Saccharomyces cerevisiae S288C: one gene and its partners. The gene in region 1 interacts genetically with each later gene. Each region holds a gene or a part of one and is shown in the gene's direction. Other genes may lie near its edges.

The links.
Region 2: of PGI1 (region 1) and GAL3, changing one enhances a phenotype caused by changing the other (phenotypic enhancement), as found in Saccharomyces cerevisiae (one study listed by BioGRID).
Region 3: of PGI1 (region 1) and PFK1, changing one enhances a phenotype caused by changing the other (phenotypic enhancement), as found in Saccharomyces cerevisiae (one study listed by BioGRID).
Region 4: of PGI1 (region 1) and FLO11, changing one suppresses a phenotype caused by changing the other (phenotypic suppression), as found in Saccharomyces cerevisiae (one study listed by BioGRID).

The regions. Positions count from the first base shown.
Region 1 is NC_001134.8:611,713-615,730, reverse strand, and holds PGI1 (glucose-6-phosphate isomerase), read left to right. Parts: upstream 1-1,830; coding exon 1,831-3,495; downstream 3,496-4,018. Other genes in the region: YBR197C (uncharacterized protein), read left to right, coding at 1-528; YBR196C-B (uncharacterized protein), read left to right, coding at 1,101-1,205; YBR196C-A (uncharacterized protein), read left to right, coding at 1,558-1,707; MSI1 (Msi1p), read left to right, coding at 3,849-4,018. UniProt on the Saccharomyces cerevisiae protein: In the cytoplasm, catalyzes the conversion of glucose-6-phosphate to fructose-6-phosphate, the second step in glycolysis, and the reverse reaction during gluconeogenesis.
Region 2 is NC_001136.10:461,904-465,547, forward strand, and holds GAL3 (transcriptional regulator GAL3), read left to right. Parts: upstream 1-1,530; coding exon 1,531-3,093; downstream 3,094-3,644. Other genes in the region: phosphoribosylanthranilate isomerase TRP1, read left to right, coding at 1-613; YDR010C (uncharacterized protein), read right to left, coding at 3,148-3,480.
Region 3 is NC_001139.9:970,253-975,332, reverse strand, and holds PFK1 (6-phosphofructokinase subunit alpha), read left to right. Parts: upstream 1-1,598; coding exon 1,599-4,562; downstream 4,563-5,080. Other genes in the region: YAP1802 (Yap1802p), read left to right, coding at 1-458; YGR240C-A (uncharacterized protein), read left to right, coding at 556-756. UniProt on the Saccharomyces cerevisiae protein: Catalyzes the phosphorylation of D-fructose 6-phosphate to fructose 1,6-bisphosphate by ATP, the first committing step of glycolysis.
Region 4 is NC_001141.2:389,020-395,430, reverse strand, and holds FLO11 (Flo11p), read left to right. Parts: upstream 1-1,755; coding exon 1,756-5,859; downstream 5,860-6,411. Other genes in the region: YIR020C (uncharacterized protein), read left to right, coding at 874-1,176. UniProt on the Saccharomyces cerevisiae protein: Homophilic binding protein that enables kin discrimination in heterogeneous yeast populations by mediating homotypic cell-cell interactions during flocculation, a reversible and asexual process in which cells adhere to form aggregates (flocs).

The DNA.
Region 1 (4,018 bases):
GATAAAAGAAAGGGATCTTCAGATTCCACTGCCTCTATAATGGGCAGTTCCAACGCACTTCCGACCAAAAACCTAACCACGCCTCCAGCACTAAACCCCTTAACGACCAGCATTAGTAGGGGTAATACTGCATACGAAAGAAGCGTAAATGGTAGCCGTATAACAATGCACTCAAACCTGGCACCTACGGAGACGCAAGACGTATCATGGTCTGAAATCGATACACTGGATGATGTGAAGAAGATGGCGAAAGAACCTATCGTCAACGACGGGTTCCCACGAGATTTTGAGAGCAATCTCACGCAAATGCGCAAGTCGCACGCTCAACTACTGCGATTAATGAGGGAAAGAAATCAGCGACTAAAGTATGCCAAGCTGAGGAGCCCTCCTCATAAGGATCAGCATAATTCTGCCACGAATAAAGATCAAGAACCAGACGAGGTATTGCATGACCCGGAAATCGCACTTGACGGTGAGAAGTACGTGAGCCAAGTTGTCGATACTATTAAAGATGTTCACCGATGCTGATGACATGTATGGGTTGAAAATATTTAGAGGATGCTAAAAGTCCCGTCTAAAATAGAGGAAGTCATGGATTACATTATCACCTTTATTGTCCTGTTCCGTCTGGCTAATTTGGGACGAGGAACGTTTGTCTCCATTCGCAACCTTTTGAAACCATATGAACGGCGGCTAATCTGACAGATGTCTTATATTTCTAGGATTGTAGAAAGCCTCCTCATCAAACCACCTTGTTTGAAAAAGGCACTAGTGCGGTTGCTTTACTTGATCTAGTATTCTCCTACCTTGGAGCGGTCCCATATCAACTAAATTCAGTTTTCTGACTGAGTTAAAAACTAATGTAGCGACACCACTTCCATTGGTGCCTCCGTTATTTTTTTTTTGTATGTTAATGCTAAATAATACACCGCTATGTATTTCAGGGCACTACTTCTACACATCAACGGTACTAAACATTTCGCTCAAGATCGGTCCGCTTTCACGTATTTGGATGCTATGCAATGTTGACTATTCTTAGTGGATAACATGCGGCATTTCCTGGCGGCTATTTGCATCGCTATGTAAGTGGCAATGTTCGGATGTGGGTAGTACTTTCAAAAGAAAAAATATTACTGAAGAAGGCATACTACGCCAAGACTATTTTATTCTCAGCACTTGTCCTACGTGGGGTTAGAGGCGAGTAAGACTTTGGCCCCGCTGCGGAAGCAAAGAGAATTTTGCCATCGGACATGCTACCTTACGCTTATATCTCTCATTGGAATATCGTTTTCTGATTAAAACACGGAAGTAAGAACTTAATTCGTTTTTCGTTGAACTATGTTGTGCCAGCGTAACATTAAAAAAGAGTGTACAAGGCCACGTTCTGTCACCGTCAGAAAAATATGTCAATGAGGCAAGAACCGGGATGGTAACAAAAATCACGATCTGGGTGGGTGTGGGTGTATTGGATTATAGGAAGCCACGCGCTCAACCTGGAATTACAGGAAGCTGGTAATTTTTTGGGTTTGCAATCATCACCATCTGCACGTTGTTATAATGTCCCGTGTCTATATATATCCATTGACGGTATTCTATTTTTTTGCTATTGAAATGAGCGTTTTTTGTTACTACAATTGGTTTTACAGACGGAATTTTCCCTATTTGTTTCGTCCCATTTTTCCTTTTCTCATTGTTCTCATATCTTAAAAAGGTCCTTTCTTCATAATCAATGCTTTCTTTTACTTAATATTTTACTTGCATTCAGTGAATTTTAATACATATTCCTCTAGTCTTGCAAAATCGATTTAGAATCAAGATACCAGCCTAAAAATGTCCAATAACTCATTCACTAACTTCAAACTGGCCACTGAATTGCCAGCCTGGTCTAAGTTGCAAAAAATTTATGAATCTCAAGGTAAGACTTTGTCTGTCAAGCAAGAATTCCAAAAAGATGCCAAGCGTTTTGAAAAATTGAACAAGACTTTCACCAACTATGATGGTTCCAAAATCTTGTTCGACTACTCAAAGAACTTGGTCAACGATGAAATCATTGCTGCATTGATTGAACTGGCCAAGGAGGCTAACGTCACCGGTTTGAGAGATGCTATGTTCAAAGGTGAACACATCAACTCCACTGAAGATCGTGCTGTCTACCACGTCGCATTGAGAAACAGAGCTAACAAGCCAATGTACGTTGATGGTGTCAACGTTGCTCCAGAAGTCGACTCTGTCTTGAAGCACATGAAGGAGTTCTCTGAACAAGTTCGTTCTGGTGAATGGAAGGGTTATACCGGTAAGAAGATCACCGATGTTGTTAACATCGGTATTGGTGGTTCCGATTTGGGTCCAGTCATGGTCACTGAGGCTTTGAAGCACTACGCTGGTGTCTTGGATGTCCACTTCGTTTCCAACATTGACGGTACTCACATTGCTGAAACCTTGAAGGTTGTTGACCCAGAAACTACTTTGTTTTTGATTGCTTCCAAGACTTTCACTACCGCTGAAACTATCACTAACGCTAACACTGCCAAGAACTGGTTCTTGTCGAAGACAGGTAATGATCCATCTCACATTGCTAAGCATTTCGCTGCTTTGTCCACTAACGAAACCGAAGTTGCCAAGTTCGGTATTGACACCAAAAACATGTTTGGTTTCGAAAGTTGGGTCGGTGGTCGTTACTCTGTCTGGTCGGCTATTGGTTTGTCTGTTGCCTTGTACATTGGCTATGACAACTTTGAGGCTTTCTTGAAGGGTGCTGAAGCCGTCGACAACCACTTCACCCAAACCCCATTGGAAGACAACATTCCATTGTTGGGTGGTTTGTTGTCTGTCTGGTACAACAACTTCTTTGGTGCTCAAACCCATTTGGTTGCTCCATTCGACCAATACTTGCACAGATTCCCAGCCTACTTGCAACAATTGTCAATGGAATCTAACGGTAAGTCTGTTACCAGAGGTAACGTGTTTACTGACTACTCTACTGGTTCTATCTTGTTTGGTGAACCAGCTACCAACGCTCAACACTCTTTCTTCCAATTGGTTCACCAAGGTACCAAGTTGATTCCATCTGATTTCATCTTAGCTGCTCAATCTCATAACCCAATTGAGAACAAATTACATCAAAAGATGTTGGCTTCAAACTTCTTTGCTCAAGCTGAAGCTTTAATGGTTGGTAAGGATGAAGAACAAGTTAAGGCTGAAGGTGCCACTGGTGGTTTGGTCCCACACAAGGTCTTCTCAGGTAACAGACCAACTACCTCTATCTTGGCTCAAAAGATTACTCCAGCTACTTTGGGTGCTTTGATTGCCTACTACGAACATGTTACTTTCACTGAAGGTGCCATTTGGAATATCAACTCTTTCGACCAATGGGGTGTTGAATTGGGTAAAGTCTTGGCTAAAGTCATCGGCAAGGAATTGGACAACTCCTCCACCATTTCTACCCACGATGCTTCTACCAACGGTTTAATCAATCAATTCAAGGAATGGATGTGAACAAATCGCTCTTAAATATATACCTAAAGAACATTAAAGCTATATTATAAGCAAAGATACGTAAATTTTGCTTATATTATTATACACATATCATATTTCTATATTTTTAAGATTTGGTTATATAATGTACGTAATGCAAAGGAAATAAATTTTATACATTATTGAACAGCGTCCAAGTAACTACATTATGTGCACTAATAGTTTAGCGTCGTGAAGACTTTATTGTGTCGCGAAAAGTAAAAATTTTAAAAATTAGAGCACCTTGAACTTGCGAAAAAGGTTCTCATCAACTGTTTAAAAGGAGGATATCAGGTCCTATTTCTGACAAACAATATACAAATTTAGTTTCAAAGATGAATCAGTGCGCGAAGGACATAACTCATGAAGCCTCCAGTATACCCATCGATTTGCAAGAAAGATACTCGCACTGGAAGAAAAACACTAAACTACTTTATGATTACCTAAACACGAATTCAACAAAGTGGCCGTCCTTAACGTGCCAGTTCTTTCCTGATTTAGATAC
Region 2 (3,644 bases), on another chromosome or scaffold:
CACAGAGGCCGCAGAATGTGCTCTAGATTCCGATGCTGACTTGCTGGGTATTATATGTGTGCCCAATAGAAAGAGAACAATTGACCCGGTTATTGCAAGGAAAATTTCAAGTCTTGTAAAAGCATATAAAAATAGTTCAGGCACTCCGAAATACTTGGTTGGCGTGTTTCGTAATCAACCTAAGGAGGATGTTTTGGCTCTGGTCAATGATTACGGCATTGATATCGTCCAACTGCATGGAGATGAGTCGTGGCAAGAATACCAAGAGTTCCTCGGTTTGCCAGTTATTAAAAGACTCGTATTTCCAAAAGACTGCAACATACTACTCAGTGCAGCTTCACAGAAACCTCATTCGTTTATTCCCTTGTTTGATTCAGAAGCAGGTGGGACAGGTGAACTTTTGGATTGGAACTCGATTTCTGACTGGGTTGGAAGGCAAGAGAGCCCCGAAAGCTTACATTTTATGTTAGCTGGTGGACTGACGCCAGAAAATGTTGGTGATGCGCTTAGATTAAATGGCGTTATTGGTGTTGATGTAAGCGGAGGTGTGGAGACAAATGGTGTAAAAGACTCTAACAAAATAGCAAATTTCGTCAAAAATGCTAAGAAATAGGTTATTACTGAGTAGTATTTATTTAAGTATTGTTTGTGCACTTGCCTGCAGGCCTTTTGAAAAGCAAGCATAAAAGATCTAAACATAAAATCTGTAAAATAACAAGATGTAAAGATAATGCTAAATCATTTGGCTTTTTGATTGATTGTACAGGAAAATATACATCGCAGGGGGTTGACTTTTACCATTTCACCGCAATGGAATCAAACTTGTTGAAGAGAATGTTCACAGGCGCATACGCTACAATGACCCGATTCTTGCTAGCCTTTTCTCGGTCTTGCAAACAACCGCCGGCAGCTTAGTATATAAATACACATGTACATACCTCTCTCCGTATCCTCGTAATCATTTTCTTGTATTTATCGTCTTTTCGCTGTAAAAACTTTATCACACTTATCTCAAATACACTTATTAACCGCTTTTACTATTATCTTCTACGCTGACAGTAATATCAAACAGTGACACATATTAAACACAGTGGTTTCTTTGCATAAACACCATCAGCCTCAAGTCGTCAAGTAAAGATTTCGTGTTCATGCAGATAGATAACAATCTATATGTTGATAATTAGCGTTGCCTCATCAATGCGAGATCCGTTTAACCGGACCCTAGTGCACTTACCCCACGTTCGGTCCACTGTGTGCCGAACATGCTCCTTCACTATTTTAACATGTGGAATTCTTGAAAGAATGAAATCGCCATGCCAAGCCATCACACGGTCTTTTATGCAATTGATTGACCGCCTGCAACACATAGGCAGTAAAATTTTTACTGAAACGTATATAATCATCATAAGCGACAAGTGAGGCAACACCTTTGTTACCACATTGACAACCCCAGGTATTCATACTTCCTATTAGCGGAATCAGGAGTGCAAAAAGAGAAAATAAAAGTAAAAAGGTAGGGCAACACATAGTATGAATACAAACGTTCCAATATTCAGTTCTCCGGTCAGAGATTTACCAAGGTCTTTCGAACAAAAACATTTAGCGGTTGTAGATGCATTTTTCCAAACATACCATGTCAAACCTGATTTTATCGCTAGGTCTCCTGGCAGAGTAAATCTGATTGGTGAGCATATAGATTATTGCGATTTTTCAGTTTTGCCATTAGCCATTGATGTGGATATGCTTTGCGCAGTTAAAATTTTAGACGAAAAAAATCCATCCATTACCTTAACAAATGCGGACCCTAAATTTGCTCAGCGAAAGTTTGATCTGCCTTTAGATGGTTCCTACATGGCCATAGATCCGTCTGTGTCGGAATGGTCGAATTACTTTAAATGCGGACTACATGTGGCACATTCATACTTGAAAAAAATTGCTCCGGAAAGATTTAATAATACACCCTTAGTAGGTGCGCAGATCTTTTGCCAGAGCGATATTCCTACTGGTGGTGGACTCTCATCTGCATTTACTTGCGCGGCAGCACTAGCCACAATTAGAGCCAATATGGGAAAAAATTTTGATATTTCCAAAAAAGACTTGACCCGCATCACAGCGGTTGCTGAGCACTATGTTGGAGTCAATAATGGTGGTATGGATCAAGCAACGTCTGTTTATGGGGAAGAAGATCATGCTCTATACGTAGAGTTTAGGCCAAAACTAAAGGCCACACCTTTCAAGTTTCCTCAATTGAAAAATCATGAAATCAGTTTCGTCATCGCCAATACTCTTGTAAAGTCTAATAAATTCGAAACTGCTCCTACAAATTACAATTTAAGAGTAATAGAGGTAACAGTTGCTGCCAACGCCTTGGCGACCAGATACAGCGTGGCCTTACCATCTCACAAGGACAATTCTAACTCAGAAAGAGGGAATCTAAGAGATTTTATGGATGCTTACTACGCCAGATACGAAAACCAAGCCCAACCATGGAATGGAGATATCGGAACTGGTATTGAACGTTTACTCAAGATGCTACAATTGGTAGAAGAATCTTTCTCGAGGAAAAAGAGCGGATTCACTGTACATGAAGCCTCTACGGCGCTAAACTGTTCACGTGAGGAGTTCACTAGAGATTACCTGACAACTTTTCCCGTCCGCTTCCAAGTCTTGAAACTATATCAAAGAGCTAAACACGTTTACTCCGAATCCTTAAGGGTGCTTAAGGCTTTAAAAATGATGACAAGTGCCACTTTTCACACGGACGAAGATTTCTTTACAGATTTTGGCCGACTAATGAATGAGTCCCAGGCCTCTTGTGATAAACTTTATGAATGTTCGTGCATAGAAACCAATCAAATATGCTCGATTGCCCTAGCAAATGGTTCTTTCGGCTCCCGTCTCACTGGCGCTGGTTGGGGCGGTTGCACTATCCACCTTGTTCCTAGTGGCGCTAATGGGAACGTGGAACAGGTACGAAAAGCACTAATCGAAAAATTCTACAATGTAAGATATCCGGATCTCACAGATGAAGAACTAAAAGACGCAATTATAGTTTCGAAGCCTGCCTTGGGTACTTGTTTGTACGAACAATAACACTAAACACCTTCTTGGAACAACCTTTAAATATTAAAAGTTTACTCATACCTCTTACACTCTATAAAGAAACAAGTTGGTGAGTCCAATAGAACCCATTCCAGCATCCGATGCAACCATAGCCCGGTTGATGCGAGTCAGAGTGGCTCCGCACACAGAGGTTATGTGACCATGGTAACCGTACACATTTTTCCACGGCAAGGAAGTGGCGCGAAAGAAGCACCGCCCTCCACGGATCACCCCATTTGGAAAAGAACGGAGACATAAAAAAAAATTACCTTCACGCCAGACTATGTATGACTCGTAGAAATCTAGCATCCGCGGAGCTATTTTAAGTTTCCGCGGATGCCTTTCGATCCTTTCCCAGTCGTCTGGTTCCGCGCACATATGACTAAATGTCCGCCCATTTCCGTTTAAATCCGTTTTCTATTTTCTTTAGGTCTTTCCATTGTATTCCCTGCAACCCCGCTGGGTATTGGTATTACTAATAGTGACTACGCAACATCAACATATAAAACAAATGATGAGTAGTGCCCCTCCCTCACCGCTAT
Region 3 (5,080 bases), on another chromosome or scaffold:
TTCAATACACCCCAAATTTCACCGGCTCAGGGTTCGGCGGATACACGACCACCGAGAACAATGCAATTATGACCGGCACTTTAGATCCAACAAAAACGGGGTCTAACAACCCATTTTCGCTAGAAAATATTGCCAGAGAACAGCAACAACAAAATTTCCAAAACTCCCCAAATCCTTTTACCCTCCAACAAGCACAAACCACCCCGATTCTTGCTCATAGTCAAACAGGTAATCCATTTCAGGCTCAAAACGTGGTGACATCACCAATGGGCACATACATGACGAATCCCGTGGCCGGTCAACTTCAGTATGCCTCTACTGGTGCGCAGCAGCAACCACAAATGATGCAGGGTCAGCAAACAGGGTATGTTATGGTTCCCACTGCGTTTGTCCCCATCAATCAACAACAGCAACAACAGCAGCATCAGCAAGAAAATCCTAACTTAATAGATATATAGTGAGCGATAGATACTACAGTTTTTTGTTCTCAACAGGCCGTCCTTGCATATTATAAACTCTGATTTTTAGGTAATCCCTTCCACCTTTCTATATTTTATGATACTATCCAAACATGTAAATTTTACGTACCATACATATAACCTCATCTATAATTTTTACCCTGATCTAACTAACTTTGGCATGCCTGGTTCAATCTACGGGTTACAGTCATCGTTGAAAACGATGGAAAAACATGTCGAGATTCCTCAATCCATACACCATTATAGTCCGTTTTATCAGCTTCCACTAATTTTTTAAATCTCAGTTTCTTCTTGAAATTTAGCATCGTGCATGGGATAGCGGCTAGTAAAAAAGAAAATTAATATCTCATTAACAAAGTTATTGTACATAATCCGGTACAATATTCTTCAATGTACTCTCTAATATCGAGCACACTGGCAATATTCATGCACACATTCGCCTAATGCTGACGAATGCTTAATCAGTGCAATTACTGCCACCCTCTTGATATGTGGGCTAAATCCTTTAGGACCTGTAAAAAATGCAATCACGTTTTCACATTTTTTTTTTTCTTGCGGAATTGCGGAATTTCCCAGTTGGCAGCGTTATCCGATTTGAGATCGACTTGCATCAACCTTTGAAAAATATAAGGATGAGAAAGTGAAATCGGTTTTTTTTTTCCATTGTCGTCATCAACATGATTTTTTAAATAAATAAATACGATTTTTTATTTTTTTTCCCTTCTTTGTTTTTGTTTTGCTTATTCCCATCTTCATTATTAAATTCTTCCGCTCTTAATAAAGGAGTTTTTTTATTATCTTCTTGTGTAATCATCCTTTTTCTTTAATTTTCTTCCTTTTCTTTTTCTCTTTACTGGTTTTTTTACTTCTTTATTCTCAACCATCTAAAGAATATTATTGCTTTCTACCAATAAAATCTGTTAATTCTATTTGGATTGTCGTCTACTCAAGTCTCGCCTAGTAAATAAACGATAAACAAATTTGAAGTAAGAATAACAATATAGGGAGAGAAATTTTTCTATTTTTAATTTCGAAACAGGTACCAAAAAATCTAAGTTCACTTTAGCACTATTTGGGAAAGCTTTTATATAAAAAATCTGAAACAAAATCATATCAAAGATGCAATCTCAAGATTCATGCTACGGTGTTGCATTCAGATCTATCATCACAAATGATGAAGCTTTATTCAAGAAGACCATTCACTTTTATCACACTCTAGGATTTGCAACTGTGAAAGATTTCAACAAATTCAAACATGGTGAAAATAGCTTACTATCTTCAGGGACTTCCCAAGATTCCTTGAGAGAAGTTTGGTTAGAATCTTTCAAGTTGAGTGAGGTTGATGCTTCTGGGTTCCGTATACCACAACAAGAAGCTACTAACAAGGCTCAAAGTCAAGGTGCTCTATTAAAGATTCGTTTAGTGATGTCTGCTCCAATCGATGAAACTTTCGACACCAACGAAACCGCCACAATCACTTATTTCTCTACTGATTTGAACAAGATTGTCGAGAAATTCCCAAAACAAGCCGAAAAATTGTCCGATACCTTAGTGTTTTTGAAAGATCCAATGGGCAACAACATCACCTTCTCAGGCTTAGCTAATGCAACCGATTCCGCTCCAACTTCCAAAGATGCTTTCTTAGAAGCTACCTCCGAAGACGAAATCATCTCTAGAGCTTCTTCCGATGCTTCTGACTTACTAAGACAAACATTGGGCTCTTCTCAAAAGAAGAAGAAGATTGCTGTCATGACTTCTGGTGGTGATTCTCCAGGTATGAATGCCGCTGTTCGTGCCGTTGTTCGTACAGGTATACATTTCGGCTGTGATGTTTTTGCTGTTTACGAAGGTTACGAAGGTTTACTAAGAGGCGGTAAATATTTAAAGAAAATGGCTTGGGAAGATGTCAGAGGTTGGTTAAGTGAAGGTGGTACTTTGATTGGTACTGCTCGTTCTATGGAATTCAGAAAGCGTGAGGGTCGTAGACAAGCTGCAGGCAATTTAATTTCGCAAGGTATTGACGCTTTGGTTGTTTGTGGTGGTGATGGTTCTTTAACCGGTGCTGATCTTTTCAGACACGAATGGCCATCTTTGGTTGATGAATTGGTTGCAGAAGGTAGATTCACTAAAGAAGAAGTCGCCCCATACAAGAATTTGTCCATTGTTGGTCTTGTCGGTTCCATCGATAATGATATGTCTGGTACTGACTCTACCATTGGTGCTTATTCTGCTTTGGAAAGAATCTGTGAAATGGTTGACTACATTGATGCCACCGCTAAATCCCACTCCCGTGCCTTTGTTGTTGAAGTTATGGGTAGACATTGTGGTTGGTTGGCCTTGATGGCTGGTATTGCTACCGGTGCCGATTACATTTTTATTCCAGAAAGAGCTGTTCCTCACGGAAAATGGCAGGACGAATTGAAGGAAGTGTGCCAAAGACACAGAAGTAAGGGTAGAAGAAATAACACAATTATTGTCGCTGAAGGTGCTTTAGATGATCAATTAAACCCTGTTACTGCCAATGACGTCAAAGATGCTTTGATTGAATTGGGTCTAGACACCAAGGTAACCATTCTAGGTCACGTTCAAAGAGGTGGTACAGCTGTTGCTCATGACAGATGGTTAGCTACTCTACAAGGTGTCGATGCTGTTAAGGCCGTTCTGGAATTTACCCCTGAAACTCCTTCTCCATTAATTGGTATTTTAGAAAACAAGATAATTAGAATGCCATTGGTTGAATCTGTGAAGTTGACTAAATCTGTTGCCACTGCCATTGAAAACAAAGATTTCGATAAGGCAATTTCTTTAAGAGACACAGAATTTATTGAACTTTACGAAAACTTCTTATCCACTACCGTTAAAGATGATGGTTCCGAATTATTGCCAGTATCTGACAGACTAAACATTGGTATTGTCCATGTTGGTGCCCCATCTGCTGCTTTGAACGCTGCCACCCGTGCCGCAACTCTATACTGTTTGTCTCACGGCCATAAACCATACGCTATCATGAATGGTTTCAGTGGATTGATTCAAACCGGTGAAGTGAAGGAACTATCATGGATTGATGTCGAAAACTGGCATAACTTGGGTGGTTCCGAAATCGGTACGAACAGATCTGTTGCTTCAGAAGATTTGGGTACCATTGCTTACTACTTCCAAAAGAACAAGCTAGACGGTTTGATTATTCTTGGTGGTTTTGAAGGTTTCAGGTCCTTGAAGCAATTGCGTGACGGTAGAACCCAACACCCAATCTTTAACATTCCAATGTGTTTGATTCCAGCCACTGTTTCTAACAACGTTCCAGGTACTGAATACTCACTTGGTGTTGATACCTGTTTGAACGCATTAGTCAATTACACTGATGACATCAAACAGAGTGCTTCTGCGACAAGAAGAAGAGTCTTCGTCTGTGAAGTCCAAGGTGGTCACTCTGGTTACATCGCTTCTTTCACTGGTTTAATCACTGGTGCTGTTTCAGTGTACACTCCAGAAAAGAAGATCGACTTAGCTTCTATCAGAGAAGATATAACTCTATTAAAAGAGAACTTTCGTCACGACAAAGGTGAAAACAGAAACGGTAAGCTATTGGTTAGAAACGAACAAGCTTCTAGCGTATATAGCACTCAATTGTTGGCTGACATCATCTCTGAAGCAAGCAAGGGTAAGTTTGGTGTTAGAACTGCTATCCCAGGCCATGTTCAACAAGGTGGTGTTCCATCTTCTAAAGACCGTGTCACCGCTTCCAGATTTGCTGTCAAATGTATCAAGTTTATCGAACAATGGAACAAGAAAAATGAAGCTTCTCCAAACACTGACGCTAAGGTTTTGAGATTCAAGTTCGATACTCACGGTGAAAAGGTACCAACTGTTGAGCACGAAGATGACTCTGCTGCTGTTATCTGTGTTAATGGTTCTCACGTTTCCTTCAAGCCAATTGCTAACCTTTGGGAAAACGAAACCAACGTTGAATTAAGAAAGGGTTTTGAAGTTCACTGGGCTGAATACAACAAGATTGGTGACATCCTGTCCGGTAGATTAAAGTTGAGAGCTGAGGTAGCCGCTTTAGCCGCTGAAAACAAATGAATGATTGCAATGAAAAGTTTAAGTTAAGCAAAAGGAGGTAAAAATGGCATGCACTTTAATTTTTATACAATCGTTTTTTTGTCATAAGACTTATTTATGTATCTGTTGTTTTTCTTTTTCTATCCTCTATTTTTGTCTATTTGTCTTTGTTTTACTCTTTTTCATTATTATTTCTTTATATAATTTTTGTACGATATGATACACATAACAATGAGCAATGAACATATTTCTAATCCTAACCATTAGATATACTTTTCAACTGAGGAATAATGGCGCCTTGATTAAACTAAGCTATGGAATTTGCATTATTCAAGTTTTAGGGTGTGCTTAATCTGCGTTGACAATGGTTCACGAAGACGACATCGGCAACTTTGCTGTACTACAAATTGCTCTGAATGTGAGGCTGATCCACATCATAGTGAGGCGCGCTACCTTAATTGTAGTCGTATTGTCATCGGTCTACGAATACCGTTTGGTTTATTTGTCGGCCTTTTTTCTTTCCGTTTCTTTTTATCTTT
Region 4 (6,411 bases), on another chromosome or scaffold:
CATTGAGGACATGCACCTGCAGTACTTGTTTTTCTCGAATGTTTTTTACCATCTCTTTTTTCCTTATCTGAGCTGCTGACGCAGACGGACATTGTTTCATATTTCGAAAGCTGTGCGGGAAAACGGACCCTAACACGAATGTGAATGCGCTAATCGGTATTTCCACCACATGAAACCTGCTACTTTTTCAGTCCTCTTCGTATGCATTTCCCAAAATTCATTCGTAGCCTTGTCAACTTAGACTCAGTTCCACGGCGTGCAGGACGGGGTATTATGAATAAAAGGATCCACGGGTGAGATTTGTTTTATGTTTTAGGTATGGAGTTTTGTACCACAAAACTTTAGGAATACCGGATTGTGTGCCTACGCCAGCCCCAGAGTATGTTCTCACAGCTGTAATTCCTAGTGATCTTTTCCTGACTCCAATAGGAACGCCGGTAGGCAAATTAAACTTTCGCGGCAGGAAAAAAAAGGCTTTTTCTTTTTTGCCTTTCAGTTTCTCGGAATGTGGCATTACATAAGCATAATCCTTTTTGGGTGTGCCTGGAAAGTTCAAATTAAGGTTTTTTTCTTCTGTTTTCTTAACAAGAAAATGTCGCCCAAAGAGTTTCGGCCGTTATTTTCCTATCGAGTGGGTCCTTTTTGTCTTTAGTCCTTCTCTGGGGCTAGCGATCACTGCAAAATTAGGCTTTACTGGTACGAGTTAACTTTTTTTCTTTTTTTTGTCATCCTTTTCTTTGGGGCTAAGAATGGACTTCCCTTTTCTTTTTCTTTGTTGCGACAGTGGCTTCAAAGAACTGCTGATTGCTCAAGGCAATCAGTCCGAGCGTTTAGAAGGTGATTGTAGGCAGAAATTAACTTTGCGGTAAAAGAATGACATTCTTTCTTAAAAGAAAAATTAGCTTTTTTTTGTCAGGCATTGCACAAACTTTTTTATTTCTGCCTATACTCTTAAACAGATCAGTCATTCATGTTGTCTTTTTAACGGTCGTACTGGGACATCGCATACCTTGGGATTCCGTAATTAGGTGCAACAATACGGGCACAACTCATTCTGCGGTATCTTCACGGACAGAACTTCTATTGCCTATCGGTGGTGTGATTAACAATTGGAAGCGCAGAGCTTGGAATGGATTTTCAATTCAATGGATTTGGAGGTATTCGTTTGTTTACTAATATTTACTTTGAGGACATTGCCCAACCCTAAAAGTGCCTGCTCAAGAATAGAATAACATTATGATACGTTTTCTTGACCGCTGAGCAATTTAAAGCAACTATTAGGGTACGATTGTTTCTAGAGAAATGTGGGTCATCTTTTTAGGTCCGTTCTCTTCTGATGAGGTAACCTTTACAAAAATGTCATAGAGTTACCAATTGGGATTCAAGGCATCATCGCAATATACTTCGTTCTTTTACGGAGAAATTAAGCTCTTTCTACTTTGAATTAACTGTTAGACTTGTCTTATCTGAGGAATGTCCGTGTTCGAATTAAATAAAAAATTAGGGCAGTTTTATTTACCTTAACAAATATGTTCAAGCATTTACGTTACTGCGCTCTCTTCTAGTTCAAGAACGGATAACTCATAGACTTACCAGTACAAATTGTTGAAGGGTTCCCAATTGATAAAAAGGATCTCTTGCTTCCTAAAATAAACGTATAAAAAGCACCCTATTCATCAGTTATTATCCCTCGTCATGTTGTGGTTCTAATTAAAATATACTTTTGTAGGCCTCAAAAATCCATATACGCACACTATGCAAAGACCATTTCTACTCGCTTATTTGGTCCTTTCGCTTCTATTTAACTCGGCTTTGGGTTTTCCAACTGCACTAGTTCCAAGAGGATCCTCCGAAGGAACTAGCTGTAATTCTATCGTTAATGGCTGTCCCAACTTAGACTTCAATTGGCACATGGACCAGCAAAATATCATGCAGTATACTTTGGATGTGACTTCCGTTTCTTGGGTTCAAGACAACACATACCAAATCACTATTCATGTCAAAGGTAAAGAAAATATTGACCTGAAGTATCTATGGTCTTTGAAAATCATTGGTGTCACTGGTCCAAAAGGTACCGTCCAACTATACGGTTACAACGAAAATACCTATTTGATTGACAACCCAACTGATTTCACAGCCACTTTTGAAGTTTATGCCACACAAGATGTCAACAGCTGTCAGGTGTGGATGCCTAACTTCCAAATTCAATTCGAGTATTTGCAAGGTAGTGCCGCTCAATATGCAAGCTCCTGGCAATGGGGAACTACATCTTTTGATTTGTCTACTGGTTGTAACAACTATGACAATCAAGGCCACTCTCAAACGGATTTCCCAGGCTTCTATTGGAACATAGATTGTGACAATAATTGTGGCGGTACGAAGTCATCTACCACTACATCTAGCACTTCCGAGTCATCTACCACTACATCTAGCACTTCCGAGTCATCTACCACTACATCTAGCACTTCCGAGTCATCTACCACTACATCTAGCACTTCCGAGTCATCTACATCATCATCAACCACCGCTCCTGCTACACCAACCACTACCTCATGCACTAAGGAAAAGCCTACACCCCCAACCACTACCTCATGCACAAAGGAAAAGCCTACACCTCCTCATCACGACACCACTCCATGTACAAAGAAGAAAACTACCACATCTAAGACATGCACTAAGAAGACTACTACTCCAGTACCAACCCCATCAAGCTCTACTACTGAAAGTTCTTCTGCTCCAGTACCAACTCCATCCAGCTCTACTACTGAAAGCTCTTCTGCTCCAGTAACCAGCTCTACCACTGAAAGCTCTTCTGCTCCAGTACCAACCCCATCAAGCTCTACTACTGAAAGCTCTTCTGCTCCAGTAACCAGCTCTACCACTGAAAGCTCTTCTGCTCCAGTAACCAGCTCTACCACTGAAAGCTCTTCTGCTCCAGTACCAACTCCATCCAGCTCTACTACTGAAAGCTCTTCTGCTCCAGTAACCAGCTCTACCACTGAAAGCTCTTCTGCTCCAGTAACCAGCTCTACCACTGAAAGCTCTTCTGCTCCAGTAACCAGCTCTACCACTGAAAGCTCTTCTGCTCCAGTAACCAGCTCTACCACTGAAAGCTCTTCTGCTCCAGTACCAACTCCATCCAGCTCTACTACTGAAAGCTCTTCTGCTCCAGTAACCAGCTCTACCACTGAAAGCTCTTCTGCTCCAGTACCAACTCCATCCAGCTCTACTACTGAAAGCTCTTCTGCTCCAGTAACCAGCTCTACCACTGAAAGCTCTTCTGCTCCAGTACCAACTCCATCCAGCTCTACTACTGAAAGCTCTTCTGCTCCAGCTCCAACCCCATCAAGCTCCACCACTGAAAGCTCTTCTGCTCCAGTAACCAGCTCTACCACTGAAAGCTCTTCTGCTCCAGTACCAACTCCATCCAGCTCTACTACTGAAAGCTCTTCTACTCCAGTAACCAGCTCCACCACTGAAAGCTCTTCTGCTCCAGTGCCAACTCCATCAAGCTCTACTACTGAAAGCTCTTCTGCTCCAGTACCAACTCCATCAAGCTCTACTACTGAAAGCTCTTCTGCTCCAGCTCCAACCCCATCAAGCTCTACTACTGAAAGCTCTTCTGCTCCAGTAACCAGCTCTACCACTGAAAGCTCTTCTGCTCCAGTACCAACTCCATCCAGCTCTACTACTGAAAGCTCTTCTGCTCCAGTACCAACCCCATCCAGCTCTACTACTGAAAGCTCTTCTGCTCCAGTACCAACTCCATCCAGCTCTACTACTGAAAGCTCTTCTGCTCCAGTAACCAGCTCTACCACTGAAAGCTCTTCTGCTCCAGTAACCAGCTCTACCACTGAAAGCTCTTCTGCTCCAGTACCAACTCCATCCAGCTCTACTACTGAAAGCTCTTCTGCTCCAGTACCAACTCCATCCAGCTCTACTACTGAAAGCTCTTCTGCTCCAGTACCAACTCCATCCAGCTCTACTACTGAAAGCTCTTCTGCTCCAGTAACCAGCTCTACCACTGAAAGCTCTTCTGCTCCAGTACCAACTCCATCCAGCTCTACTACTGAAAGCTCTTCTGCTCCAGTGCCAACTCCATCCAGCTCTACTACCGAAAGCTCTTCTGCTCCAGTACCAACCCCATCAAGCTCTACTACTGAAAGCTCTGTAGCACCAGTACCAACCCCATCTTCCTCTAGCAACATCACTTCCTCCGCTCCATCTTCAACCCCATTCAGCTCTAGCACTGAAAGCTCTTCTGTTCCAGTACCAACCCCATCAAGCTCTACTACTGAAAGCTCTTCTGCTCCAGTATCCAGCTCCACCACTGAAAGCTCTGTAGCACCAGTACCAACCCCATCTTCCTCTAGCAACATCACTTCCTCCGCTCCATCTTCAATTCCATTCAGCTCTACTACTGAAAGCTTTTCTACTGGCACTACTGTCACTCCATCATCATCCAAATACCCTGGCAGTCAAACAGAAACCTCTGTTTCTTCTACAACCGAAACTACCATTGTTCCAACTAAAACTACGACTTCTGTCACTACACCATCAACAACCACTATTACCACTACGGTTTGCTCTACAGGAACAAACTCTGCCGGTGAAACTACCTCTGGATGCTCTCCAAAGACCGTTACAACTACTGTTCCAACTACAACTACGACTTCTGTCACTACATCATCAACAACCACTATTACTACTACAGTTTGCTCTACAGGAACAAACTCTGCCGGTGAAACTACCTCTGGATGCTCTCCAAAGACCATTACAACTACTGTTCCATGTTCAACCAGTCCAAGCGAAACCGCCTCGGAATCAACAACCACTTCACCTACCACACCTGTAACTACAGTTGTCTCAACCACCGTCGTTACTACTGAGTATTCTACTAGTACAAAACCAGGTGGTGAAATTACAACTACATTTGTCACCAAAAACATTCCAACCACTTACCTAACCACAATTGCTCCAACTCCATCAGTCACTACGGTTACCAATTTCACCCCAACCACTATTACTACTACGGTTTGCTCTACAGGTACAAACTCTGCCGGTGAAACTACCTCTGGATGCTCTCCAAAGACTGTCACAACCACTGTTCCTTGTTCAACTGGTACTGGCGAATACACTACTGAAGCTACCACCCTTGTTACAACAGCTGTCACAACCACCGTTGTTACCACTGAATCCTCTACGGGTACTAACTCCGCTGGTAAGACGACAACTGGTTACACAACAAAGTCTGTACCAACCACCTATGTAACCACTTTGGCTCCAAGTGCACCAGTAACTCCTGCCACTAATGCCGTACCAACTACAATAACCACTACTGAATGTTCTGCTGCTACAAACGCTGCCGGTGAAACTACATCTGTATGCTCTGCTAAGACTATCGTAAGTTCTGCAAGCGCAGGCGAAAACACTGCACCTTCGGCTACCACCCCTGTCACGACGGCTATTCCAACCACAGTTATTACCACTGAGTCATCTGTTGGTACTAACTCCGCTGGCGAAACAACAACTGGTTACACAACCAAGTCCATCCCAACCACTTACATAACCACTTTGATTCCAGGTTCAAATGGTGCCAAGAATTACGAAACTGTGGCCACAGCAACCAACCCTATTTCAATCAAGACTACATCCCAACTAGCTACAACAGCTTCTGCTTCTAGCGTGGCTCCCGTTGTCACATCTCCATCTCTAACTGGTCCACTACAATCTGCTTCTGGTTCTGCAGTCGCTACATACTCTGTTCCTTCTATCTCGAGTACTTACCAAGGTGCTGCTAATATCAAGGTTCTTGGAAACTTTATGTGGTTGCTACTCGCTCTTCCAGTTGTATTCTAATGATACAATTCCAACATGTTCGTTTCTTCATTACGATGTTTTCATTCTTAAATTAAGATATTATTTCGATACCCTCTTTACTTTCTTCCACCATTCTGTTTTCGCTGCCATAATTTTGTAAGGCAGAAAACTACCCGTAGAATACATATTCATTTACATATTTTTTAGTTCTTCAAAAATTATCTTTTACCTTTTTTTACTTTATTTTACCATTTTTCTTCTAGCCCTATTTTGACCATCTGATAGCTTATTCAAGAACAAGTACCGGTAGTATTGGCACCGCGCCACTTTTCCCTCTCGCTTTTTTTTTTTTTCTTTTTGCCAAGCGCCTGCACGTTCTTTTGTCTGGAGTCTTGGAAAATGATAACCACCAAAAATCATCCCACGGACGGCTTGAGTAAAAATGTTTTTCCGCGAGACGGAAAGAGACGTAACAACCTTACATTTTTCCTAAAAGATTAATAAACCTGATATTGCCTTGGCACAACTAATAATCTTCGACCAGGCTTTGATGAATAAGAGGATCTTTACAGGCACCTTTGCTCTTTGAAC